7 linked regions of the Nothobranchius furzeri genome follow. The protein of the gene in region 1 purifies or fractionates together with the protein of each later gene. This does not show direct contact. Links are inferred from orthologs where the notes say so. Each region holds a gene or a part of one and is shown in the gene's direction. Other genes may lie near its edges. The genes, in order: hdac3, atxn3, wdr5, ccnd1, skia, rb1 and runx1.

Region 1 (3,500 bases):
CATCTTATTTTTATGACCCGGACGTGGGAAACTTTCATTATGGTGAGATTGATCCTCATAGTAAATCAATCCGTAGAGGCGTTAGCTAGTTAGCCAGTTACATGCTAATAGTTCACACAAAAAAAAATGCTTTTTTAAAAATATTTTATACTTTCCTGTGATGCAATTTATGGGTGCTTTTGCAAATATAATGGTGCTTTTAAAAATAATATTCTCTGCAGCTTTCATACTTTAAAATTGACGTTAATTTTCCTGTATTCCTGTCAGATTAATATGTTTAGGCTCAACCGGAAGGTGCTATTGTTTCTTACACCAGAACAAATATTCCTGAACTATTTTAATTACGTAGTTCAAAAATAAAACTAAGTAACAGGTCAGCACTTGGATAATGCCTTTTCGTGAGTCTTCTTTACCGTTAGTTGGGATCAGTAGTGCAGTTTTGATTCAGGTTAGATTATTAACTAAATTATAAAGTTAAAGCGCCATTAGTCATCATCTTCACTTTAGATCTATTCAAGGGTCAACGGTTCAGAAAGTAAGGGTCTAAAGTCAAGCTTATACCAGGTAGGAAGAGCACCGCATGGAAGTGAATGATGCTTTTGCATGTTAGGTTTATTCCAAGAGAAAATGTATTTATTTTTTGTTATTACTGATCATTGTTTATATTTGTATCTAAAGTTCTAGTTCAGAAGTGCAGTTTAATTGTTCAGCCGTGGTTATACTTGGTTTAAAGTTTTATGGAGAAATAAATGCCAGAAGTAATGTTTGCATTAGTGATCTTAGTGATCTTCTGCAGGGTCAGCATCTTGTAGGTTTTAGATTCCATCCATCCATTTTCTGAACCCGCTTTGTCCACGCAGGGTCGCGTGGGGGGGGGGGGGGGGGGGGGGGGGGTCAACGGGCAATCAGCCGGGGTACACCCTGGACAGAGAGCCAGTCCATCGCAGGGCAACACAGAGACATACAGGACAAACAATCATGCACACACACACACACACACACACACACACACACCTAGGGGCAATTTAGACAGACCAATCAACTTAACAGTCATGTTTTTGGACTGTGGGAGGAAGCCGGAGAACCCGGAGAGAACCCACGCATGCACAGGGAGAACACGCAAACTCCATGCAGAAAGATCCCAGGCCGGGAAGCGAACCCTTCTCGCTACAAGGCAACAGCTCTAACCACTGTGCAGCCGGTTTTAGATTCCATTATACCTTATAAATTGACACAGTTATTGTGCACAGTAGTTCACAGAGAAGACATGTATGTTTATAATCACAACTATTGTTTCTGCATGAGTACTGTGAACTAATTTTGAGACTATCACCCATCCCTATTGGGAACTGGTCTGGAGTTATATATAACAGGTGAGCGCAGTGGAGGACGAAATTTTGTCCTATTTTCATAAACGTGTGTGTGTGTGTAAGAATGTGAGTGAATAACTGTTTAGTTGTAAAGTTTCTTGAGGGGTTGTAGAACTCTAGAAAATGCTTTATAAATGCCGGCCATTTTTACCATTAGGGCTGGGCAATAAATAAAAAATGTATCGTTATAGAAATGTCGGACTCTTATTGTGATCATTTTTCCCATGTCAGGAAATTTGATAATAAAAAAATTTAAGGATGTGTGTAGGTTCAGGTTGGCAACATTATATATACATATATATATATATATATGAAAGGGCTGGGCGATATGGCCTGAAATTAATATCACGATATATTGAGGATTGATAACAATAAATGGATGATAGCTACAGGTAGGCGCAGAAACAAAAGTTGTCCACTAGATGGGGCTGTCACATGTTACGTTGTGTCACATTTCTGCGTGACTCAAGGTGGTACAGCTTCCTAACCCTCTGGAGGCAGGCGTTGCAGATTTGCAACGTTAAAACCTACCAACCTGGTTACTCCACATACATATTTTATGAGCATTTTTTAAATCAGAAGTACCCATGAAGGACTTAGTAGTTCGTCCTTTTATCAAAACTTACTTTGAGCCTGAGAGGGTGAAAGGGACACTAACGTTGCCAACCTACACACATCTTTTAATTTTTGATTTTCAAATGTATTGACATGGGAAAAATGATCACAATAAGAGAAATTTCGATAAATTTTTTATTTATTGCCCAGTCCTAATATACACACACATATGTGTATATATATATATATATATATGTATATGTGTGTGTATATAAATATATATATATATATATACACACACATATATATGTATATGTGTGTGTATATAAATATATATATATATATACACACACATATGTGTATATATATATATGTATATGTGTGTGTATATAAATATATATATATATATATATATACACACATATACATATATATGTATATGTGTGTGTATATAAATATATATATATATATACACACACATATACATATATATATATATGTGTGTGTGTGTGTGTGTGTGTGTGTGCGTGTATATACTTATATACATACAAAACAGCATTTATAAGTTCTGACAAATTGAAAAACAAATACAACACATCTGGCAGAAGAGAATAATTCATCTTACGTAGAACCTCGAACTGTTCACCAGATCCTCATCAGAAACAATCTCAGCTCATAACACAGTTACAGTTTCATCCTAAGGTTTTGCCTGTTTTACTACACGTTGTTCTGTTCTGAAATTATGCAAAATTGTTTAGATCGGCTTAAAAAAAACAAAAAACAAAGTTGAACCATGTCTCCTTTAGGTGCCGGTCACCCCATGAAACCTCACCGTCTGTCGCTCACTCACAGCTTGGTGTTGCACTATGGACTCTACAAGAAAATGATGGTGAGCAGCAAATGGTGATTCAGAGTCTAATGGTGCTCTTCACCACGTAGAAGTGATAAAATGATACCTTACTGAAGATTTTGGTACCTGATTAGGTTTTCAAGCCCTACAAAGCTTCTCAGCACGACATGTGTCGGTTCCATTCTGAAGAATACATCGACTTCCTGCAAAAGGTCAGCCCCAACAACATGCAGGGCTTCACGAAGAGTCTCAACGCATTCAACGTGGGAGATGACTGGCAAGTGCTGCTGACTTTTATCGTGCAGATACACTCAAATGATTGTTTGAATCATGCTCAAGTGTTTTCAGCTGTCTTCTCAGTTTAGTTATGCTTTAAAATCTCACACCCTTGATAAGTCTGAATTTTTTTATTTTTTGCATTTCAGTCCCGTGTTTCCGGGTTTGTTTGAGTTCTGTTCAAGATACACGGGAGCATCTTTACAGGGAGCAACACAGCTTAACCATAAGGTAATGTATACGAACACACAGATATCCTGAATGAGCAATTTATCGACTAGTTCCAAAGTGCTTATTTATTTGTTGCCTTAGTTAATTTGTAGGTCCACCTTTTGCCTTTCCCTGTGAGAAAGTCTGACCAGATGCAGGTGTGTGTCAGATAATCATATCGTCAGAATTGATGTCTTGAGTCTCATATTTTTAGTTAACACTGACTGATCAAATGCTAC
Region 2 (3,953 bases), on another chromosome or scaffold:
TGGGTCCAGTGTGGAAACACAAGTATGGACACTATCGCCAACAATAATCAGGTACGGGCCCAGACCATTACATCACCACCAGCAGCCTGAACCGTTAAGATGGATCCATGTTTTCAAGTTGTTAACATCAAAGTCTAACCTAACATTTATGAATGTTGCAGCTGAAGTTGAGATGCAACCTTTTGCTAATATCATGATGAAAACTGCAACACTCAGACCAGCCTGCCTGGCACCAGCACAAAACCACATTCATTACCACTGAAATCCCCTTTCTTCCCCAGATAATCAGACAAAACTTCATCATGTCCACATGTCTAAATGCTACCACCTGATTGGCTGTTTGTGTTAATAAGCATCTGAACTGGTTTACCTGCTAAACAAACTGGTGAGTGTATGGTACATCCACGCCAGGAGTCTGTTTAGGTTCACTTACATAAATATGCATCATCAGAACAAATATGTTTTTGTGTACCAACTGAACACCTTGAAAATAATACAATGGATTGGATGAAGCAAGTAAAATTATACAAAAATTATATTTCGGTTTTGAAAATAAAACTGAAATAATTTATTTTATACGAAACTAAAACAAAAACCACATTAGACGGATTTCTCAATAATAAAACACAAAGGCTGTAACTACATTAGGACGTTTAAAAATGCGTGATTATGTTGGTGTTTGGGAGGCGAAAATATCTGAACAGGTAAACCTAAATATGAATAACAACACAGTAACAGTAGACTAGTTTACTTTCACTGTAAATAAACGGAAAAGGCATTCAGGACCTCAGGCTAAGCATTTTAAATGTCATGTGTAAGCACAGAGGGGAAAGACAAACACTTACATCATTTCTCATGGAAAAAGACTAAATTTATCCCGAAAAGAAGTAAAAATAAAGTCGGTTTATCCGTAATAAACAGCGTGATGCCTCTCTAATGCTAGTTAGCCTTGGCGGCTACGACTATTATTAGCCTGGCAAGAACAACCTTCTACCATAATGCAGTAAAACCTTATTACACATGATTTTTTTTTTATTTTAAACTCCGTCGTTTTGCCACAAACTCTCAGAAAGCGCTGTCAACGGAATTAGCTGAGAGAACATCATACCTGACTCAGCTCCAGCCTGTTCATGGAATTCTCACTGTCCGCCATATTCCATTTGCCGTAAGTAGAGGCGTCCAGCACTGTGCCGCGCGCACGCCCGCCCGCTAGGGGGCGTCTCCTCTCGATAGGGCGAGTGAGGGGCGGGGGTTAGAGAGTTGAACGTTTGACAGAAAGCTGAATATGGACTCCATATTTCATGAGAAAGTAGGTTTAAACATTTTATAACACGAATTTACCTGATTATATTTACTGATTTTTGATTAAGCGGTGTCGGTGCTCGATCTGCTGAATAGTTTTACCAGTTAAGTAGCCGCTATCGAGGCGTTTGTGATGGAGTTGTTGTACAAACTGCTAATACGCTAATTCACTTGCTAGTCAGAGAATGTGAAAAGTTAGATTTTTAACATGATAACTATTCCTGGCGTCATGTAGGGGTTTTGTTTTCTTGTTAGTTAATCGCTCTCTGCTTGGCTGGGTCCTCGTTGGGCTAGCTGCTACATGTGTTTGTTTTGGTTGAGCATCTTTATTCCAGAAGTCCAGCTGATGCTGGATGCTTGTTACATTCCTGATCCTTTGTTTGCAGCAAGAGGGCTCCCTCTGTGCCCAGCACTGCCTCAACAACCTTCTGCAGGGCGAGTATTTCACTCCTGTGGACCTGTCCTCTATCGCTCATCAGCTTGATGAAGAGGAGAGGATGAGGATGGCAGAGGGGGGAATGGCTAGTGAGGAGTACAGGACCTTTTTACAGGTGTTATGAGACAGAGGGTACATATTGGTACAAAATGTTATCAAAAATGTAATTTTATTCATGTTTTTCTTTCGAAAATGTGTTTAAAGCAACCCTCTGGGAACATGGATGATAGTGGGTTCTTTTCAATACAAGTGAGTTTACAATTATCTTTTTATTGCTTCTAAAATCCATGTCCTCTTCTGTAATATCACTCTTGTTTCAATATTTTCAAGGTGATTAGCAATGCTCTTCGAGTCTGGGGCTTGGAGCTACTCCTCTTTAATAGTCGAGAGTACCAGAGCCTAATGATAAACCCAGTGTAAGGTTTTAATGTGGAAACATTATGATAGAAGATCCTGATCTCTCATTTCTTTAAGCTGATGCTTACTTTGTGTTTCAGAAATGAGAAAGCCTTCATTTGCAATTATAAGGAGCACTGGTTTACTATACGCAAACTTGGACAACAGGTGTGTGGCACTCACTCACTTACCTAGTCATACTTGTCTTATAGCAGCTTGATTCACTAAAATTCTCTGTTTCCTTTGCAGTGGTTTAACCTGAATTCACTGTTGACAGGACCAGAGTTGATATCAGACACATATTTAGCACTTTTCCTTGCACAGCTACAACAAGAAGGTAGCATCAGAAACTGTACATTTAGAGGTTGAACTGGAGAAAAGATGATTAAATTAGTTCTTTTTTTTTTTTGCAGGGTATTCCATATTTGTGATCCGAGGGAATCTCCCTGAGTGTGAGGCAGAGCAGATTCTTGGGATCATGAGGGTCCATCAGCAGCAGCGGCCAAGGCTCATCGGAGAGGAGGAAGCGCAGACGAGTGCGGGGTGTGTGTCATTTTGTTCACAAGGGTTCTGGTTTGTTTAACTCGTCTGATTCGTGCGTTTTGCTGTAAGCAGAAGGTCGGCTGCTCTGAGCCAGACAGAGGTGGTTTTTGGTGTTGAGGATGAGTCTGTGGGTGAAGATGAAGAACTGAAGAGAGCTCTGGCGCTCAGTAGACAGGACATGGATGTGGAAGATGAAGATGCTGATCTACGCAGAGCCATACAGCTCAGCATGCAAGGTCAATTGTGTGCCATGTGAAGGTTTTAAAACTGTTTGAAACTTGTATTAAACTTCTAAACATTAGTTTGTAAAATTAACTATTTGCATTTGTCTTTCTGCAGGAGCAGTGATGAGCAACAGGATGTCAGACAGTGAAGGGGAGGGTGTAAAATCTGGAGGGCAGGCAGCAGAGAGCACTACAGGAGAACAAAAAGAAGGCCAAAACGAGACGCTTACAGCCGAAGAGCTGAGGAAGAGGAGACGAGCCTACTTCGATCGGTAAGATCTACAACGACTGTTTAAATCCCTAAACGAGCTCTGCCCACTTAGAAAACAGATGTTTCTGTGTTTATAGGCAGCAACAAGCTCAGCCAAGCATTCCTCAACAAGCAGACAAACATTCAGCGGCTGATCCAGGTGATTAAATCTAACTTAGTTCAGAAGTCATGTGACTTGATGACTCGTTTAACCTGTGGCTCTTATTTCCACCAGGATCAGTAAACACTGGCTCTGAGGAGGACCAACAACAAGCTCCCATCCAATAAAGTGGTGAAAGTTTTGTCCGTGTTGTTTACCTGCAGCCTGGATTCAACTCCCCTCTCAGGGGTGGCTTTGCTCCTTCTTCTAACCTTTTGCAAATGCAAACATAAGGGCAGTCAGAAGGCTGACACGTGGTTACTCCCCCGCCCCCTTCCCGCCTCGTTAGTCACTGACTGAGGAAGAGAAGAACGACAAAGAAAAGGCAGCACTTTCTCATCTGAATCTTTTAGAAAGCACGGCCACTGGACCGGAGAAGACTCACGATGCAGTTTAATCCAAGTTTGCAATTTGCCTTTTTACCATGGCGCCTTCTATTTCTATCGTACAGTTTTATATCCTGGTTTTGTGTTTCTTTTCTTAAACACGTGGAAGTTATGTCCTTACTTGCTGAGAGGTAAAACGAAAAGGCGTTCAACAGAAGCAATATGAGACCAACGTTTAGATTAAAGCTTTACGGAAAACAACAAAGCCTCCTGATTTTGTAGCGGTTTTTCGTGCAACACACAAGTAATTAAAACA
Region 3 (4,268 bases), on another chromosome or scaffold:
CTGCTGATTACAGTCAGCTGTGTTGAATCAGAGACCTCTCTAAATTTTGCCTTCTTCAAGCCAGGAGACTCGTAACCAACGTGCACGTTCAAAATATTTATAGAAAAAAAATCTGGCGGACGTGACAACGTGCACGTTAGCCACAAGAACAGAACACGAGACAAAGCTCAGTTTAAAGTTAGAAGACATTTGTCAACATGATTTCAGATTCCCGAAATAACTTGTAAAAGCTTTTCATAAGCGGTGACGCAGAAGATATCGTCAAATACTTTTCGTTTACAGTGAAAAACGTGGCGTAATGTACGAATGAGACTAAATGACTAAATAAGCGAGATGGTTTTACTCAAAATGTATTAAAATGTAGGTTTGGACAAAGCGACATGATTGGCTTTAAAACGTTTCAAATACTTATCGTGAAATAAAAACACAAGTATGCACGATGTTCGTTAGCATAAAGTTAGCTAGCTGGTTTGGTAAGGGACACTGCAGCGGATGACAACACACTTTGTGACACCGACTGTTGATATAAGTTTCGAAATACCAACTACAGGTTTTGGTTAAGTAACGTTTGCTTTAATTTGGGGCAAAATGTAGCGCCAATAAATAAGCTTGAATTAAATTATCATATAACGAAGCGAAGAAGTCCGCTTCTTTAAACACCTATTGTTGTTATGGAGGAGGCTAACCGCTAAGTAATGAGTAAAAATAAGAAAATAACAACAGAAGTGTTTACCAACTCATTTAAGAGGGCGTGTTGACATGGGAGCTTGACGCTGCACGGCTTGGAAGAAAGCTCACCGAAGCCAAAACAAACTAGTGAACACCAGAGTGCAGTGTGTTCAAAAAGAACTAGAAACTTCTTCCCCGACCTATTGCAGCCACGGCTGAAGGGACAGGTCTGGTGCTCATAGCGCCATCTGTTGAGCCGGAGAATCCAAAGCGCGTTCACAGCTGATTTATGGTAAAAGTGTGAAATCTGCATTTCACAAAATCATATTTATAATTGTGGAAAGTATTGAGCTAAAAAGTAAATGGTTAGGGTTATATAAATAAATGCAAGTGATTTACTATGAAAATATCACAGTCAGTAGTTCATAACTACATAAAGCATAAAATAAGGTTACGACGTATTAAAGATATGTAATTTGTTTGTTTTATTTAGATTTTTGTTTGCTGTGTGTTTGTTTCTGTTTCATGTAGACTTTTCCTTTTTGCATATTGATTGACTCTGACAGCCACAGCCTGGTTTTTAAATGGCTACTGCCTTTCATTGAAATTTAGATGAAGTATTTCACATAATGTACTTCTACAAATTCTCTGTTGAGAATTTTTGTCATTTTAAATTTAAAAAATACAAACTTGTAATAAATAAGATTAATTAAAACTATTGGGCTCTTTTCAAACGGCAGTCGAAACGATTTTTTCATAATTGTCCCTCATTAGTTCCCGTCACTTTTGAACGTCATGCGCCTGCGCAAACTGTAAGCACATTCCCCGCTTCACCTCGCAGCTCGTTCCTTTACCAGGCAAACATCCTCAAGCAAATAGCTTGATTTGTTCTTTGTTCTATCTCTCTTTAGTTATTATACGGACTGTTTTAGATTTCCAGGATTTGCAAGGAGTACCAGTCTGACTGTAGATCTAAATTGATCAACGTAAGTATCGGTGTAAAACCGAATCTTCATTGTTTCAATGGAGGCCCCCTTCGTGGCTGCATAACTTGTCAACAGCATCAACTGCATGTCAAAACTGCGATTAGCTTCTTCATATAACTGTGGCGTTCATGCCAAAATACATTTTATTCCGCGAGACAGCCTCTAATCTATAGATCTTCACGTTGTTTTGTTCGAAGGTAACCCAAGTATATTCAGGTGTTGAACTTTACAGCGAACGTACTCGTTCTCCCTTTGTTTGCTTTTATTTTTCGCATAAATAATAATTCGAAGCAAAAACGAGCTGGTGTCAATGCATTTGAAGGCAACACAAGATGGTAAACGGTAACCGGACAAGGGGGTTGGCCTCAATCGGTTTTCATAGTAAGAGCAATTTAACGTTAGCTAACTTCAGCTAGCTGCATTAGCTAATTTTATAGCTAAACGGACCCTAAACGGGCATTTAAATACTTTTGAGCATCACAGCCTATTAATAAGCCTAATTAAAGTAAAATTTACATGATATATACTTAATTTATCTTATTTAAAGTAAACCCCACTGTTTATTTTAGATCACAGTAAAGGAAGCTAATGCTAACAGATAAAACAATAGTTTTTAATCACGTTTACCTTAATGGTGGTTATTAGCAGTCATCGAGCTGGAGGGTTTATCTTATTTCTCCAAACTTTAAAATTCCGGGTGTTAGAAATTGTAAAATTTCCACCCAATAACTTATCCCAGTTGTTTAATCTTTAGGTTTAACTTGCCTGATTTATTAACTTTTTTTATGGTTTCTTCTTTTGTCTCAGGTGCAATAGATGCTGATTTCCTCACCATGGCAACAGAGGACAAGAAACCAGAGACTGACACCAAGCCTCCAGTTGTCCCATCAGCCTCTGCTAGCCAAAGCAAGGTCTGACAAACCCAAGTTTTGGCATTGCCTGTAATCTCCCACCCTGTCCTCTTATGATAGTTTAATTCTAAGTTTTTGTTAAGGACTGTCAATATTCCAGCATTATTTCGGATTTTTTCTTTCTTTATTGAAAGTATTTCATCATGTTTATTCATTTGCTAAATTAGAACTGGTTTTCTTTTGCAGACTGCACCTGCAAAACCAAACTACAGTTTGAAATTCACACTAGCGGGACACACTAAGGCTGTGTCCTCGGTTAAATTCAGTCCAAGTGGAGAATGGCTCGCCAGCTCGTGTAAGCATCTCATTTTGAATCATATCTTGTTTAAATCTCAGCTACCTCAACATAAATCTTCTTTCATTCCATAATAAAATGTATTGGGTTTTGTGAAACTATGTTTGATCCAGAGCTTTTTTTAAAGTTTGATAAAACACTTGTACTGCATAGATGAAGTGTATTTTGTGCTCTAAGTTAAATGTAAATAACAATAATAGCAGTGCTTTAGTGACTAAATATTCTTATGCAATTGTGAAATTTTTATTGGTTTTAGTATTTATCTTTGGGTACACTCGTTTCATTTGAATATCTGATCAGCTGAAATGATTGAAATGGGGAAATTATATATTTTTTACCATTTTGCAACTTTTCAGTCATTTTTTTTCTCTTTTTCATGATGTCTTTTTCATTGTTTGTGTTACAGCTGCTGATAAACTCATCAAAATCTGGGGCGCTTATGATGGCAAGTTTGAGAAAACCATTTCTGGACACAAACTTGTGAGTAGAAGGGACCCTTACCTGTGGCACTGTTGTGTTTCTGCCTGCAGGACTGTATTAGGTAGAGTTTCACCGCTTTTACTAAAACATCAAAGACTCCTCCCACCCTGGTCATTACTGTTTTGGACTCTTGCCGTCCAGTTGGTGCAAACAATCCCCTTCCCCACAGCAGTAAACTAAATGTACTAAAACCCTCTCATGCGCATTAGAGCAAAAACCTCAGTCACCAGTGCAATAAGTCTAATATAAAGTGAATACATTTACTGCTGCTACATATCTAGTAAACATGTACTTCTGTTTATATATTTATATCTGTTCTTTTTTTCTTCTGTTATTCCAAACACACCATTTGAGTGCCATGCAGCAGCAGAGGGTATTCACATGCAGTGAATAATAAAAACTTTGAGTCTGATCTGTTTGGTCGTTCAAAGCAAGAACAAGATTGTATTTACATTTTTAGAAGATAAACATGAGAAATGACTCCATTGTTTACTCTTGTATCATTTTATGTCCTTGAAGCCTTGAGATCTTAGAATTTCTTTATTTTCCAGGGAATATCTGATGTGGCCTGGTCATCTGACTCCAACCTTCTTGTTTCTGCGTCGGATGACAAAACTCTGAAGATCTGGGACGTTAACTCGGTAAGAATGTTTTAAGGTGTGGTTCATTGAAAAACCTTTTTTAATGATTATTTTAGTTACTCTGAGGTTTTTCATGCAGGCTGAACATGACAAAAGTCTCCTATCTTCTGGATTAGCTAGAAAATAGATGGTGAAAGTCTAGGGTTAGAAAATCCTGACAGATCCACGTTACACTGTCACTAAACATTCATGGGCTCACCCATCTTGGCTCATGACGAGGACGGCTATTGTTGGTTTAGCGTCCAGAAAACAGCATAGAACATCTCGGCTGGTAGAAGCTAACCGT
Region 4 (3,500 bases), on another chromosome or scaffold:
TGGCTAGGCTAATATCTCCCGCTACCACCACAGACATATTGGACCTGAAAAATATTTTTTTTTCTACCTCAGAGATAAGTACTTGTAGTTGTTCGCTACCATTTTAGTCTGGACTTTACGTAGCATTACTATGATAAATATATAGTCACCACTTAAAATCATTCTAGTTATTAATTTAGCCGTGTTGAATTCAATTTAATTACGTTAACAACTTTGTTCAAATGACAATGCCAGTCTTCAGTTCTCACTGCCTCCTGGCTGCGGTCTGTGTAGCTAGCTAAAAACAGTATGAACAGCTGAGGCTCTGTCCTCTGAGCACATACTTAGTATTTTTGATAGAATCAAATTCATGACATTTCTATCATTCACATATTTTTGTTTCTGCTGTTGGATGATAGAACTAGTATGAATTACTGAGTGGAGCGCGGGTCCGGTAGACTACCTGCTATCCGTCGCTATCCCGAAGCTCTCGTCATGTTCGCTCGTCTCAACGCATGAGTGAAAAAAACAAAAGCTCTCCGCTGCTCCTTTGTCATTAAACAGAGAGAAGGAGAAAAACCTCTCGCTCCATAAAATGCGATAAAGCAATACTCGTGAACCGAGTCGCTACTTTTGGCCCTTCTTTAGAGAAATAAATCTAGGGGTGAAAAATCTGTAAATCTAGCCAAAAAGACAGTTGGAAAAACAGAAGTGGAACTGCAACTGAAGGGGAATATGCAATCTGATTGGTTGGAAGCGTCATGTGGGGCGCTGTGCCAGCTAGATGCAGAAATTAAAGGAGAAGCGCTACAGCCCAATATTGCCCAAAATGTTTAATCTGTTTGTTTATCCACAAGGAGGGAAAATTTTTTTCCAGGACAACTCAAAAATTTCCAGGACATTTTGCAATTCCACCCATTTTCCATGTGTTTTCCATGACTGGAAAATTGGACTATCATTTTCCAGGTTTTCCAGGACGCGTGGGAACCCTGACACACACACACACACCACTACTCTGCTCCCTGTTCTGATTGCACAGATTGGTTATTGCGTTCGGTGCTAATTAAACACCAACCAGGTGTGGGGTGTGAGTCGTTACACACACCTCAGCTCATCCTGACAGAAACAAAACAGATGTGGTCTTCAGCCTGAGCGACAGCCCTTTTACTTTGTATTCTGCTCTCCTGCAGACGTGAACTTCATAGCCAGCCCTCCGTCGATGGTGGCAGCCGGCAGCGTGGTGGCAGCCGTTCAGGGCCTCTACCTGAAGAACCAGGATGCCGCCCTGTCCTCTCAGAACCTCACCAACTTCTTGTCCCAGGTCATCCGCAGCGACCCGGTACGTTTGAATTCGTTGACGTGACGGTTGTTGTGGCTGGCGTGAGGACGTTGACCCGATGCTGACCCTCTGTTTGCAGGACTGCTTGCGGTCGTGTCAGGAGCAGATCGAGTCCCTGCTGGAGTCCAGCCTGCGACAGGCTCAGCAGCACAGCGGCACAACGGAAAACAAACATGTGGAGGAGGAGGTGGACCCGTCCTCCACGCCCACAGACGTGAGAGACATCAACATCTGAGAATGGTGGACATCTGTCCTACAGTGAACTCGACGATCAAGAGGAAGTAGTTGTGGGAGGGTGCTGATGGGGGTAGGGGGACTTGCTTGGTCTCACCCTATACCCCTCCTCAATCCTTCTCCAACTTCCTAGTGGGCTGAAGGTCAAGAATGTCTCCTGCTAGCCTGCTGCCAGATCAGATCGGACACACCACAGCGTTCCTTCCCTCCAGGGGACTGCAGCTGAGACTACAGGGACGTCCTGGGGAGGACATGATGACCTGCAAGGGCTGGGCTCTTCCCTCACATGTTAAACTTGGAATCTTTAAGTCAGCGCACCTGAAGGTCCTCATCCTCAAGCAGATACTATGTTGTCTTTTCTATCTAAAGTGATTTAGTCTGTCCACGTCTTTGTCCCGTCTCCGGCTTGCTCGTGTTTAGTCACTTTATTTAGACTTTAGTCTGGTAGGTCTTCTGTTCCCAGCCAGAGGGGCCATGAGCTGCTTAAACCCTCTGATGCTGGTCCGACTCAAAAAAGCACTTTGGTCAGCAACGCTGACTCAGCTAAATGCATCCAGAACATTCCCAACACACAACTGCCAACCAGACGGCCTCCGAGCGACGGAGCCGTCCGAGTTTCAGCTGAGCAACTAAAGCCTCTCCAGGTTCCTCCAGAGAAGCCCCTCAGTCCAGATCCTGATCAGGACCACCCCCCCACCCTGCTCTGCCAGAACCTGGTGTCCCTTTAGACAAGCTGGTGGGTTCTGGGAAACCGATAAAGCTGACTCGAGGAGAGATGAGACGAGACTTTGCACAAACATGAACATGTGGGCGTGTTCCATAGGAACCAGTCCAGGTTCACGACACCCCCCCTCCCTGGTGGGGGGTCCCGGTGCTGTCAGGGCTCCTGAGGGGGGTGAGCGGGAGCTGCGGGTAGAGGGTGTACAGGAAGGAGTGAGGCACTCCGGGTTTTCTGCTGCTATAGAAACGAAACGACAGCTTCTGTCAAAGGAAACAAAATAAAGCAGACAAAAGAATTGAAACGACGCTTTTTCCTGTTTGCTGCTATCTGATCTGATTATTTTGTTTTGGGAGTATGCGTGTCTATAAACTGCAATTGTAGGCTTGAATTTTCTCATAGAAAATTGTTATTGACATCCTCATCTGTTGTCTTGTGTAGGTGATCAGCTGTTGTGTGTAATAGGGCTGCTCAATTAATCAAATTTTAATCACGATTACGATCTGAGTTTTGAACGATTATAAAAACAAAACAAGCCGATTATTTGCTCCTCCCACTTGCGCTGCCCTGAGTTGCAAATGAAGCGCTCCTCCCACAGTGTTGCCAACTTGGCGACTTTGACGCTATTTCTAGCAGCTTTTCAGACCCCCTTCTTGACTTTTTAAATCCTAAAAGTACCTAGCGAACACCTCAGAAACATCTCTGGTAACCCTTAGCTTCTTTCTGGATAACTGTCGTTGACATTTCCTGCAGGTTAGCTAAACACTCCGCCTGCGCTCCGGACCGTTCTTCAGGACATTAGGAAAGGGAATGATGCAGTGACGTGTCAGTCGCTAAAGAAACAGCTCTCAGAGCCGGCTCCCTGTTGGATTAACCAGAGTGAGTGACACACACACCGCACCTGTGGACTTCTGAGCAGCTAAAAACAGCTAAATGTGCGCGTGCGGCATGCTAAACAGACGTGCAGCTTGCCCCCTGTGAGACCGGGTTGGGGGGTGCAGCTGTGGTTGAGACAATTATTACATTAACTGATGGACCTGTAAATAAATAGTTTATAAATAAGGTAGAAATAAGTTCCTCACGCTGATAACTAATAACTAATCTCCCTGAGGACACGGTGCTAGTGCACTCTCCTACAGCACCTTGACATGACTAAATAAATGTTATGCAACATTTTGTGAACATCAATTTATTTGCATTTATTTGTTATAAATGCCACTGTATAATTCT
Region 5 (3,932 bases), on another chromosome or scaffold:
TACTCTGCAGTTATTAGCACACTTGTGCACCATGCAGCCTTACAGCACACTTCCTCCACGTGCACTCTGCTGAAGAGCACAGGGCGAGTACTGGGACTGGGCCTCGGCCTGTGTTTGTAAAAAATGTCATAAATGGTATAATGTGGGAATTTGTGGAAGCGTAATGGCTTCTGTACTTAAATAACACAAACTCCTGATATTTAAACAGTTTTAGACATGTTACACTTTAGCAGCACGCGGGTTAGCCTTTAGCTTAGCCTGTCCACAGAGCTAGCTGGTGAACTGATTTCTAAAAAGTCAGAAACACATTTAAAAAAACTAGATTAAAAAAACCATCATTAGATCTGTGAATGCAGCATTAGTGTTCCCCTGGCACTTGTACGCTGTGTGCGTGTGCGCGCGTGCGTGTCTGTGGGGGTGTGCGTGTGTGTGTGTCTGCGGCATGTGCGCCCCCCCTAGAAAAGTTGCTGCGGTTTGAATATTCAGTCAAACCACATATTGATCTTTATTCTAGACATAATTGTAAAACAAAATAAAAATTATACAATTAATGAGTAAATAAATAATCAGAATAAAAAAGAAATTCATGTTTCCGCTGCTCAACATTATAAAAAGTTTTTACCTCTGTAGGTGTTGTTTTTGTGAACACAGCAACAGGTGAATGAACCTAAAACAATAAATTTTAAATACATTTTGAATAACTGAAAAGTATTTTTCTGAAATGTTTGTAAAACTGAAGTTAAATGTTTTGGAGACGTAGAGCTTTTTAATAAAAATGAATAAAAGTGTAACACGTCGCCACCGGCTGAACTCTCCCAGAGTTTCCACTAACACCAGTTTGGTTTGCCACCCCAAAACTTTTTGGGCCATCTGGCCCCCCTATCTAAATTTTCTGGAGGCGCCCCTGGGTGTGTGCGCGTGGGGTGCGCGCGTGTGCGCGCGCGCGTGTTTCGCTGGAGGGGGTGACGGCTTGTTCCTGGAAGAGCCCGGTCGGCCTGCCCGCAGAGTCACTCACATTCCTGGCCGGGATTCAATGACTGAGCTAGACACACAAACACAGGGGGAGGGAGGGGGGAGGGCGCGAGGCAGAGGGGAGGAGGCAGCGCGCGCCAGCAGCATCTCCAGTCAGAGGGAAGTGCGGGGGCAGGCGGACCTGATCTCTGCGGTCCTCGACAGCAGAACCAACCTGAATTCGGGATCTGTGCTCGCGCGGGTTTGCCTCTCGTGTCCCGCTTCTGGAAGTTTCCACCGGAACTTTGCGCCCTGTGGAGTTCGGACTCCTGTCGGACATGGACGGGCTGCGACCCTCTGGCCGGTGTGCGCTCCGTAGGGCTGGCGCGGAGAGGACTGGTGTCTAGAGCGCTGCGCTCGGATTCATGTTGGATGAAGCTTCAGCAGCTCCACGCAGCTCTGGGACACCGCGGATTTACCAGCTCGAGAAACGGATCGACCCTCGCGACTCCCGGCCAGCCAGAAGAAGGATTTTCGCTTCCAAAGTTGTAGGAAAAACATGGAGACTGTAAGTCGGCAGAGCTTCCAGCCTCATCCGGGACTGCAGCAAACTCTGAAGCAGTTCCACCTCAGCTCCATGAGCTCTCTGGGCGGACCGGCGGCGTTCTCGGCCCGGTGGCAACATGAGCTCCTCTTCAAGAAGGACGGGAAGGAGCCCGAACCGGTCCTGCAGCATCTGCCGCAGCCCGTGATGCCCGGTCCGCTCTTCATCCCGTCGGACCGCTCCACGGAGAGGTGTGAGACGGTCCTGGAGGCGGAGACCATCTCCTGCTTCGTGGTCGGCGGGGAGAAGCGGCTGTGCCTGCCGCAGATCCTCAACACGGTGCTGCGGGACTTCACCCTGCAGCAGATCAACTCCGTGTGCGACGAGCTGCACATCTACTGCTCCCGATGCACGGCGGACCAGCTGGAGATCCTCAAAGTCATGGGGATCCTGCCCTTCTCGGCGCCGTCCTGCGGCCTCATCACCAAGACGGACGCCGAGCGGCTGTGCAACGCCCTGATCTACGGAGGCGCCTACCCGCCGCGCTGCAAGAAGGAGCTAGGCTCCGGGTCCTTGGAGCTGCAGCTCACCGACAGGAGCTTCAAGGTCTACCACGAGTGCTTCGGCAAGTGCAAGGGCTTGCTGGTGCCGGAGCTGTACTCCAGCCCCAACGCAGCCTGCATCCAGTGCATGGACTGCAGACTCATGTACCCGACCCACAAGTTCGTGGTGCACAGCCACAAGGCGCAGGAGAACCGGACGTGCCACTGGGGCTTCGACTCTGCCAACTGGAGGGCGTACATCCTCCTGGGTCAGGATTACACAGGGAAAGAGGAGAAGGTCCGCCTGGAGCAGCTCCTGGACGACATCAAGGAGAAGTTCGACTTCACCAACAAGTACAAGAGGAAAGCTTCATCCAGGGTGAGTCCGACCTCCTCATCTGGTTCTGGAGGAGGAGAACCCTTTTCTGTGTGGGTCCTGGTTAGCTCTGACTCAGTTAACCAGTGTGTGTGTGTGTGTGTGTGAGCCCGCATCATCACCCCAACCCCTCCATCACCATATTGCTGCTAATTGAGTCTCATCCAGCCTCTGGTGGCTATAAAGCCATTATTTACCCTCTGGTGTCGTTTTATTGGCTTGTACAGTAAATACAAGTGTGTGTGTGTGTGTGTGTGTGTGTGTGTGTGTGTGTGTGTGTGTGTGTGTGTGTGTGTGTGTGTGTGTGTGTGTGTGTGTGTGGTGTGATAAAGGTCCCCGTGGCCGTCTCCAGTCTGACTTCCTGTGCGGTTTAAGCTTTTTCTGCGTTTTTAGACCCGACGTTTTTGCACCAACGTGTTTGAACGCGGCTGCTTGGCGTGTTCCTGGTTCGGCCGCTGAGACGTAAAACTTCCAACACTTGAATCCTTCATTTTTCCTGGCAGACTGGCTGTTGTGTGTGTGTTTGGAGCCGTGGAGGTGTGAGGAGGAGTTTCTGGAGCCAGGCCCACCCCTCACAGCAAAAGCCCATTTGCATGAACTGTTACACATCGGTGGAGCGGATGAAGCGGGGTTTAGGAGTATTGTGGTGGAAACATAATATGATCCCAACAAAAGGGTCATTCAGCTAACACGGGACCACCCACCACCCCCACCGGTCCCTTCCTCCCGTCTGACCATCGGATTGAAACCGCAGCTCTTTCCTGGAGGCAGCCCTGTTGGTGGAGCTCAGAAAGCAACAGCAAACTGTTTACAAGCACTCCTCCTCCTCTCAGGCTGCTTTCAGAGGAATCTCGGGAAGAAAGGGAAAATCGGGACAACCTCTTGTAATCCAGACCAATGCCAAAGTCCTGCGTGAATGCCCACCGCTGGCACACACTTCCATTCAGGCGGGAGTGGGCACACCCAAAGGACCTCTGCTTTCAGGGGCCTCCTCCGGCTGGGAGGAAAACTCGATCCCGGGTTTTAACTCCTCTCCTCTTTTTTCCGAGGCACTCTAATGAGGAGATGCTTTCTGGGTGGTAGCCGAACCCTTTGTCAGCACTTTTCTGGAGGAGCTTGTTGGACGGCTCAGAAATAGACGGCGTCTTCGAGTGTCTCTGAATCTTAACGAGGCTGCTGCAGAAGTGTGAGCAGCAGTCTCGTACGCAGACAGACAGGAAGTGAGATTGCTTCACTTCCCTCCCTGCAGACGCTCTTTTGAAAGTATGAGACGTGCTCATGTCTGACTTCCAGAGCAAATGTCACCGTTTCTGCAGCTGCTCCTGTTGTGTGAGTTAGCTCCTGCTCCCGATGCAGGAGGATGCAGCTCCTGCTCCCGATGCAGGAGGATGCAGCTCCTGCTCCCGATGCAGGAGGATGCAGCTCCTGCTCCCGATGCAGGAGGATGCAGCTCCTGCTCCCGATGCAGGAGGATGCAGCTCCTGCTCCCGATGCAGGAGGATGCAGCTCCTGCTCCCGA
Region 6 (3,500 bases), on another chromosome or scaffold:
GTGGATCTCATGCATATACACAAGCCGGCTGTTGCAGCGCCCCACCAATGACATGGCGACCGTAGATCAAGGCAGATCAAGGAAGTGCAATTTCACAGAAGCAGAAATTGATGTACCTGTGGGTGAAGTGGAGAAATGAAAGGAAGTGCTTTTGCAAAACAAATAGGAAAAAAATCCACGGAGTGGCACAGCGTTGCTGAAGCCGTCAATGTTGTGAATTCTTCAGAGAGATCTGTGGCGCATATAAAAAAAAATGGTCCAATTGGGATTCGATCCCCAATCTCCCGGGTGAAAGTCCTTCTCAGCAGCAGCACTGCAGGTGCTCTCCGTGTCCAACATGTGCGTAAGCCAGGTCCTTAGTCAACTTAAAGTTGCGCACATTTTTCCGCTAAGTTTTCTTTCATAAATCCCAAAGTTTGCGTGGAAAGTTGCTTACGCAGTTTTCTGACCCCGTTTTGTGCGTAAGCAAGCTTGAGAAATGAGGCCTCTGGTTTTGAAAACCATCTAAAGGTACCCGGCCCTGCTCTTAATAGAAACGTTGCTCCTTATTGTTTTTTCTGTGAGGCCAGCTGTAGGAATCGGGTTAATTAGAAAGTATTTCTCAGGTTTACAGCTGTCGTTTCTACCTGGAACCTGTGTTTATGTTGTGATTCTCATGCTTTCCTCTCTGCCTTTGCAGGAAGGACGTTGCAGATGGAGGATGATCTGGTCATATCGTTCCAGTTGCTGCTTTGCACCCTGGAGCTGTTTATCAAGCGCTGCTCTCCAGACCTTCTGCAGCCTCTTTACCGTAAACCAGAGCTTTGTTTTATGCATTTTGGTATTTTTATAATCAAACTAATAAGGGTGAAGGAAATTTTTTATTGAAAAATGTTGGTCAGCGATTAACAATATACAATGTCTCCTCTCAGAATCTTCCATTAACAAAGTGCCAACACGAGCGTCTCGTCGGAGCCAGAACAAAGCCAAATCCAGGCCTGCAGAGCTGGAGCTTGATGTTCAGCTTCTTGAAACTTTGTGCAAAGAGAACGAATGCAGTTTAGAAGAGGTTTGAAGTCCTCTGGTTTTCTTTTACCTTTTACAGAAGTTTCTTTTTCGACTGCTTGTGCCCTAATCTTCTCTCCCTACCAACTACAGGTGAAGAATGTTTACCAGACCAGCTTCTTGGCATTTCTAGAGTCCCTGGATCTGTCTAGATCTCCAGATTTTCCTCAGGTAGGCAGCTGCTATCAGACAACATGTTCTCTAGCTTGGGTTTTACCGCATCTCTTATTTCCACCAGTTATCTCTCCTCCAGCTTTTCAGTGTTTAACAGACAGGGGCTGTTCGGTGTTCTGCTTGTGTGTGCTCTCTCACACACACGCATGCACGCACACACACAAACACACACGCACACAGAGATATCTTTTGCAGTATCTCAGGGTCTTTATTGGCAGAGGCTGGTGTAAAAATTCATGTTACTGTGACGTTACCCCGGTAACAGACTGATGGTAAACGTTTTAGACAGAGTTTACACATATTTGTACATTAACACAAATACTTCTAAATAAAATTATTGACATGACTCTTAATAGCTGGTCTGGTTTTATGTTGTTTAAATAGTGCAGTTGTGCTCGAGTGTACCCTAACCCATAAACATAATTGTAACTTAGTTTAGTCTTTTAGCTGCCTTATTTTTTTTCCTGCCAGGTTTCTGACTTCAACCAGCAGTATGAGGAGCACTACCTCAAGTCCAGAGACATCGATGGACGGCTGTTTTTGGATGGAGATGAGACTCTTGTTGCTCCTAAAGTTGAGATGTAAAATCTTTTTCTTACTGTTCATTTTTTCGTTTGCTGCACATTCAAAAATAAACAAGGGAAATGCTAAATAAAATGAAGAAAAACGGTTTTCTGCATTCAGATCACAAGTAGAGAGAACACCAAAGAAGAGCCAGCCAGATGAAGACGAGATTCTGATCCCTCCGGAGACTCCCGTCAGGTGAGCGTTCAGCTGTTGCTCCAGAGGAAAGAAAAAACTTGGATGAAAAATGATTATTTCACACTTTGAGATAAAACAATGTCCCCCTCTTTTTTTTTTTTTTTTTTATAAATCTAGCCCAGTTTGAAATCAGCACTTGAGCCTGTTTTATTAGTGAGGGTTTTTAAACGTCCTTAAACAGAGTAACATAAAATATCAGTTTACAGTAATCTTTAATATGTTTGCAGTTTTTATCAACCTCTTAACTAAAGTTATCCAGGAATATTCAGTGTTTTGTGGTAGCTTTCCAGATAAAAGGGTTTTTCCTCAGGAGTTTGGTGTCATCCCTGTTTCTGTCTCCGTCTCAGAGCTGCCATGACATCCATCCGGATGCTGAGAGGAGACCTCCCCTCCAGTGGAGACCAGCCTTCTACTAACCTGGCTACATATTTCAAAGTGGGTCTCTTGAAGCATTTGTACTAATTCAACAGTCCTGTTCACTCGTAGCTTGATTAGTTTAAGGTTTTGTTTCTCGTCTTCTCTCCTGTCATCAGAACTGCTCTGTGGACCCGACACAGGATGTGCAGAAGCGTTTGGAGACGCTTGGACAGATGTTCAGCCAGAAGTTTGGTGAGGCTGTTGGGCCACGCGGTGTTGTGTACGGTCGGCAGGTACGAGCCACCACGGAGGTTTTGTGCACCCTGTCCTCCCACTGTGGCAGCTTCTTAACAAATTCTCCTTAACCCCTTAGAGATTTGCTCTCGGTGTACGACTTTATTACAAAGTCATGGAGGCCATGCTGAAATCGGTGCGGGAACCTTTTTTTATTTAGCTCATTTTCTACATTGGTTTGCATGCAAACACTGACATTTAAGATTTTCTTTTTCTTTACAGGAAGAGAAGCGGCTTTCTGTTCAAAATTTCAGGTGATAATTTGTTTACTAATTTTTCTGTGTGTAAAATAACGTGTGTGCTTCGTTTGTGTTTGGAAAACTACGCCTACTATATTATAACGAGCTTCCTTTTCTAGTAAACTCCTCAACGACTCCACGTTTCACACATCCCTGCTGGCTTGTGCTTTGGAGGTCGTCATGGCAACATATGAAGGTGCTTCCAGTGATGCTTGTCTACGTGTAGTTTCCTAAAGCACTTGTTGTACGTCACAGCTAAAGGTCTGCGTGTCTTGGTAATATTATTTTTGATCAGAAAGCAGTTTTAAAAATGGAAGGTACAACGTTGGAGGAGGGGACCAGGCTGGAACAGACGTGTGTTTCCCCTGGATACTGAACGTGTTCAACCTGCCTGCCTTTGACTTCTACAAGGTCATCGAGAGCTTCATCAAAGCGGAACCCACGCTCAGCAAAGATATCATCAAACATCTGGAGACCTGTGAGAACCTCATCATGGAGAGGATTGCATGGAGAACGGTCAGTATTACATCACGTTGTTGTTAGTGCTGTCCCCTCAGTATTGGACACATACGCAGATGAATTATATTTGTAAATGATAGCAACAAATATTTATATGGTTGAAATTATAAA
Region 7 (2,784 bases), on another chromosome or scaffold:
CCAAAAACTTCAGAATTAACCTGTGAATCAGAACTTACTTTTTTAATAATTGACAATGTGACGTGTGTGCAAGAAGTTTAAAAGAATAGAAATCAAGGAAAATATTAAAGCTGCTGCCAGTGGCTCATTAAGGTAACGGTAAATTCACTCCACACTCTTAACATCTAACAAGTTTAGGGAGAGAGAGGGTTAAAAGCTTTATAAGTATAAAAAAAAAAGAATCAAAATTTTATTTTGACGCGCACAACACTGGGTTTATGTTTACATCTACCAGCCACTAGGTGGCACTGCTACGGTAAAAGGTCTGCTTGGCAAGGCAAGGCCTGGGCTGTGTAAAATGGCGGACTCGTTAAGTCAAGCAGCTGATTCTGAACCCAGAAGATGTTTTAAAGGTAAACTCTGTTGTAAAATAAACATATTATTAGAAATGAGTCCTTACCCTGCACTATTCGTCACTGGACATGGTGCTGGCTGGTCACTTCACATGTCAGCAGTGAACCAACACCCAGACGGTTTGTTGCACTACCACCTCTAAACACTAGATGTCACTATAGTGTCCGTGTTCCATATTCAACCTTTAAGTCGTGATTTTTGCTATTCATTGCTCCCTCACTTTTATAAATCTTGGGAGAATTTCTTGATTGTTGTCTTACATTTTAAAGCTTGTTATGACCAGTTTTTATCAGTTAGGTCAAATTGCCAGCGCTAAATCTTATTTTCGTTCTATAAACCCCGAGAAGCCAGGCCTGGACTACTGCAGTGACTCGGAGAAGTCCACAAAAGAAAGCTGTTAAATGAACAGCCTATTCTCTGCTTTTGTATCCCCCAGATTCCAGGCAGATGCAGTCATCTCCATCTTGGTCCTATGACCAGTCCTATCCATACCTCGGCCAGTTAACCACGCCCACTGTTCACACAGCCAATCCACTTTCACCTGGCCGCTCCTCACTCAGTGACCTGTCGTCAAGACTCACAGGTAACAACCTCCCGACACACACACACACACACACACACACACACACACACACACACACACACACACAAGATAATTGAGTAATGGTTGTCCCTGACCTTTGCCCTTTCTCAGGTCCTGACCTTACAGCTTTCAGTGACCCCAGGATGACTTTGGAGCGATCTTTTACCTCACTTCCCTCTTTGCCCGACTCCCGTTTCTCCGATCCTCGGGTGCACTACCCCCCTACGGCAGCGGCTTTCTCCTACACCCCATCCCATAATCCTGTGTCTAATGGTGCCCTTGGCATCACCATGGCAACAGCCATGGCAACCACTCCTACAGGGCGGTACCACACATACTTGCCTCCTCCCTACCCAGCAAACACCCCTCACCAAGCTCAGAATGGGCCCTTCCAGTCCACCTCGTCACCGTATCACCTGTACTACTCCACCGCAGCCGGTTCATACCAGTTCTCCATGATGGCCGGAGGAGGCAGCAGCAGCGAATCTCGTACACCACCACGAATCCTGCCTCCATGCAGTAATGCCTCTACAGGCTCCCCCTTTCTGCACCCGTCTCTGCCCAATCAGAATGAAGGGGTGAGTGTAGAGGTGGAATCCAGCCACAGCAGCTCCCCAACAAACATGGCTGCCGCTGAAGCTGTATGGAGACCCTACTGAAGCCTCTGAGGTGGCAGTAGACCATCTGGACATGTAATGGCAGATACTGGAATGGGTGGATGAAAATAAAACCATTATTGGAGACTTCATAACAACTTAAGACCCCCAAGTGAACGGAGAACAACTGAATACCAACAGCATCATTTTCATGTCCACTCATATTACTTTTTTGGGATTACTCTTGGAATAAATGACAAACAAACAAAAATAGTTTTGAGTTTAGCCATTAAAGAAGCACAAATTCAAGAAAAATGACCAAAAAAGTTAAAGACTGGTACAAACTATTTGGAACTCGTCCATTTTGACTTTTGTACAATGGAATCCATTGTTTTCCTCGAACACTGATTTGTTTTGGCAGCTCTCTCACTCTTTTCTGTACTAAAGATATGTTTTAGAGGGGACATTTCTAATTTACTGTTACTGGAACATTATTTTAAGAGTTTTTCCTATAGCATTCGTTTAGCTCAACAGGGAAAATCGCTTTCATTCTGGGATAAACTAATTCTGAATTGGTTTTCCAAGATATAGAAATGAGACTGTGAATGCAAATGTTCTACTGTGTGTGTTTATTGTAGTGACATCAGCCAGACTGAGCTGTTTCGATTCATGTTTTGGAGAATAAAGAGCTCCGTGTCACAAATGAATAAAAGTCTGTGTCTGATGTTTCTGACAATTAGTTTTATAGATGATTCACTATCGAGATCAAATTTGTAGAAAAGTACTTTTATATCAACAATTCCAATTCATAAAATGGAATATATAATACATAGACTCATCACACAAGGAGCCGTTTAATTCAGCTTTTCACTGGTTTAAATTTTAATTATGGCTCTGTGATAATTAGACTCATGAAACAGTTCAGTGTTGTAAAGTCGTGTTTTCCCAGACTGGTCCAGTGGGAAAGATGTAACCAGAACCAGCGCTACGACTGATGCAGCTCACTCCTGAAATCAGGGATGGCATCAGAAGTGTCTCACCAGGTCTTTGATCACCTTTTCTCTCAGAACTCAGAGACAACAGTCAGAATAATATATTTGTTTTCAGGTTGTAACATAACTTTGTTTCTATGATTAGGTTTGGACTGATGTTTTTTTTTTTTTGTTACTATGATGTGTTATTTGTAGGAAATGATGGCTTTTTGTGTCATTA

What was found.
Region 2: the proteins of hdac3 (region 1) and atxn3 purify together in Homo sapiens (affinity purification with western blotting; 3 studies listed by BioGRID). This does not show direct contact. The link is inferred for Nothobranchius furzeri from reciprocal best matches to the Homo sapiens genes HDAC3 and ATXN3.
Region 3: the proteins of hdac3 (region 1) and wdr5 purify together in Homo sapiens (affinity purification with western blotting; 3 studies listed by BioGRID). This does not show direct contact. The link is inferred for Nothobranchius furzeri from reciprocal best matches to the Homo sapiens genes HDAC3 and WDR5.
Region 4: the proteins of hdac3 (region 1) and ccnd1 purify together in Homo sapiens (affinity purification with western blotting; 5 studies listed by BioGRID and IntAct, with this or other methods). This does not show direct contact. The link is inferred for Nothobranchius furzeri from reciprocal best matches to the Homo sapiens genes HDAC3 and CCND1.
Region 5: the proteins of hdac3 (region 1) and skia purify together in Homo sapiens (affinity purification with western blotting; 4 studies listed by BioGRID and IntAct, with this or other methods). This does not show direct contact. The link is inferred for Nothobranchius furzeri from reciprocal best matches to the Homo sapiens genes HDAC3 and SKI.
Region 6: the proteins of hdac3 (region 1) and rb1 purify together in Homo sapiens (affinity purification with western blotting; 3 studies listed by BioGRID). This does not show direct contact. The link is inferred for Nothobranchius furzeri from reciprocal best matches to the Homo sapiens genes HDAC3 and RB1.
Region 7: the proteins of hdac3 (region 1) and runx1 purify together in Homo sapiens (affinity purification with western blotting; 3 studies listed by BioGRID). This does not show direct contact. The link is inferred for Nothobranchius furzeri from reciprocal best matches to the Homo sapiens genes HDAC3 and RUNX1.

What each region holds. Positions count from the first base shown.
Region 1 is NC_091741.1:31,121,785-31,125,284, forward strand, and holds part of hdac3 (histone deacetylase 3), read left to right. Parts: coding exon of another isoform or gene 1-42; intron 43-2,731; coding exon 2,732-2,814; intron 2,815-2,909; coding exon 2,910-3,052; intron 3,053-3,200; coding exon 3,201-3,282; intron 3,283-3,500. UniProt on the Homo sapiens protein: Histone deacetylase that catalyzes the deacetylation of lysine residues on the N-terminal part of the core histones (H2A, H2B, H3 and H4), and some other non-histone substrates.
Region 2 is NC_091758.1:31,656,002-31,659,954, reverse strand, and holds atxn3 (ataxin-3), read left to right. Parts: upstream 1-1,195; 5' UTR 1,196-1,285; coding exon 1,286-1,309; intron 1,310-1,688; coding exon 1,689-1,853; intron 1,854-1,942; coding exon 1,943-1,987; intron 1,988-2,068; coding exon 2,069-2,154; intron 2,155-2,235; coding exon 2,236-2,302; intron 2,303-2,383; coding exon 2,384-2,471; intron 2,472-2,547; coding exon 2,548-2,677; intron 2,678-2,749; coding exon 2,750-2,913; intron 2,914-3,016; coding exon 3,017-3,173; intron 3,174-3,249; coding exon 3,250-3,311; intron 3,312-3,386; coding exon 3,387-3,439; 3' UTR 3,440-3,453; downstream 3,454-3,953. Other genes in the region: E3 ubiquitin-protein ligase UBR1, read right to left, coding at 1,109-1,153. UniProt on the Homo sapiens protein: Deubiquitinating enzyme involved in protein homeostasis maintenance, transcription, cytoskeleton regulation, myogenesis and degradation of misfolded chaperone substrates.
Region 3 is NC_091746.1:41,695,278-41,699,545, forward strand, and holds the start of wdr5 (WD repeat-containing protein 5), read left to right. Parts: upstream 1-1,468; 5' UTR 1,469-1,655; intron 1,656-2,462; 5' UTR 2,463-2,488; coding exon 2,489-2,566; intron 2,567-2,752; coding exon 2,753-2,861; intron 2,862-3,267; coding exon 3,268-3,341; intron 3,342-3,892; coding exon 3,893-3,982; intron 3,983-4,268.
Region 4 is NC_091749.1:21,584,115-21,587,614, forward strand, and holds part of ccnd1 (G1/S-specific cyclin-D1), read left to right. Parts: intron 1-1,169; coding exon 1,170-1,318; intron 1,319-1,397; coding exon 1,398-1,553; 3' UTR 1,554-3,500. UniProt on the Homo sapiens protein: Regulatory component of the cyclin D1-CDK4 (DC) complex that phosphorylates and inhibits members of the retinoblastoma (RB) protein family including RB1 and regulates the cell-cycle during G(1)/S transition.
Region 5 is NC_091755.1:44,987,622-44,991,553, forward strand, and holds the start of skia (v-ski avian sarcoma viral oncogene homolog a), read left to right. Parts: upstream 1-1,132; 5' UTR 1,133-1,510; coding exon 1,511-2,416; intron 2,417-3,932. UniProt on the Homo sapiens protein: May play a role in terminal differentiation of skeletal muscle cells but not in the determination of cells to the myogenic lineage. Functions as a repressor of TGF-beta signaling.
Region 6 is NC_091750.1:48,278,848-48,282,347, reverse strand, and holds part of rb1 (retinoblastoma-associated protein), read left to right. Parts: intron 1-679; coding exon 680-790; intron 791-911; coding exon 912-1,048; intron 1,049-1,137; coding exon 1,138-1,215; intron 1,216-1,689; coding exon 1,690-1,799; intron 1,800-1,902; coding exon 1,903-1,980; intron 1,981-2,327; coding exon 2,328-2,415; intron 2,416-2,513; coding exon 2,514-2,630; intron 2,631-2,710; coding exon 2,711-2,767; intron 2,768-2,853; coding exon 2,854-2,885; intron 2,886-2,989; coding exon 2,990-3,066; intron 3,067-3,165; coding exon 3,166-3,386; intron 3,387-3,500. UniProt on the Homo sapiens protein: Tumor suppressor that is a key regulator of the G1/S transition of the cell cycle. The hypophosphorylated form binds transcription regulators of the E2F family, preventing transcription of E2F-responsive genes.
Region 7 is NC_091743.1:80,920,869-80,923,652, reverse strand, and holds the end of runx1 (runt-related transcription factor 1), read left to right. Parts: intron 1-829; coding exon 830-976; intron 977-1,087; coding exon 1,088-1,635; 3' UTR 1,636-2,284; downstream 2,285-2,784.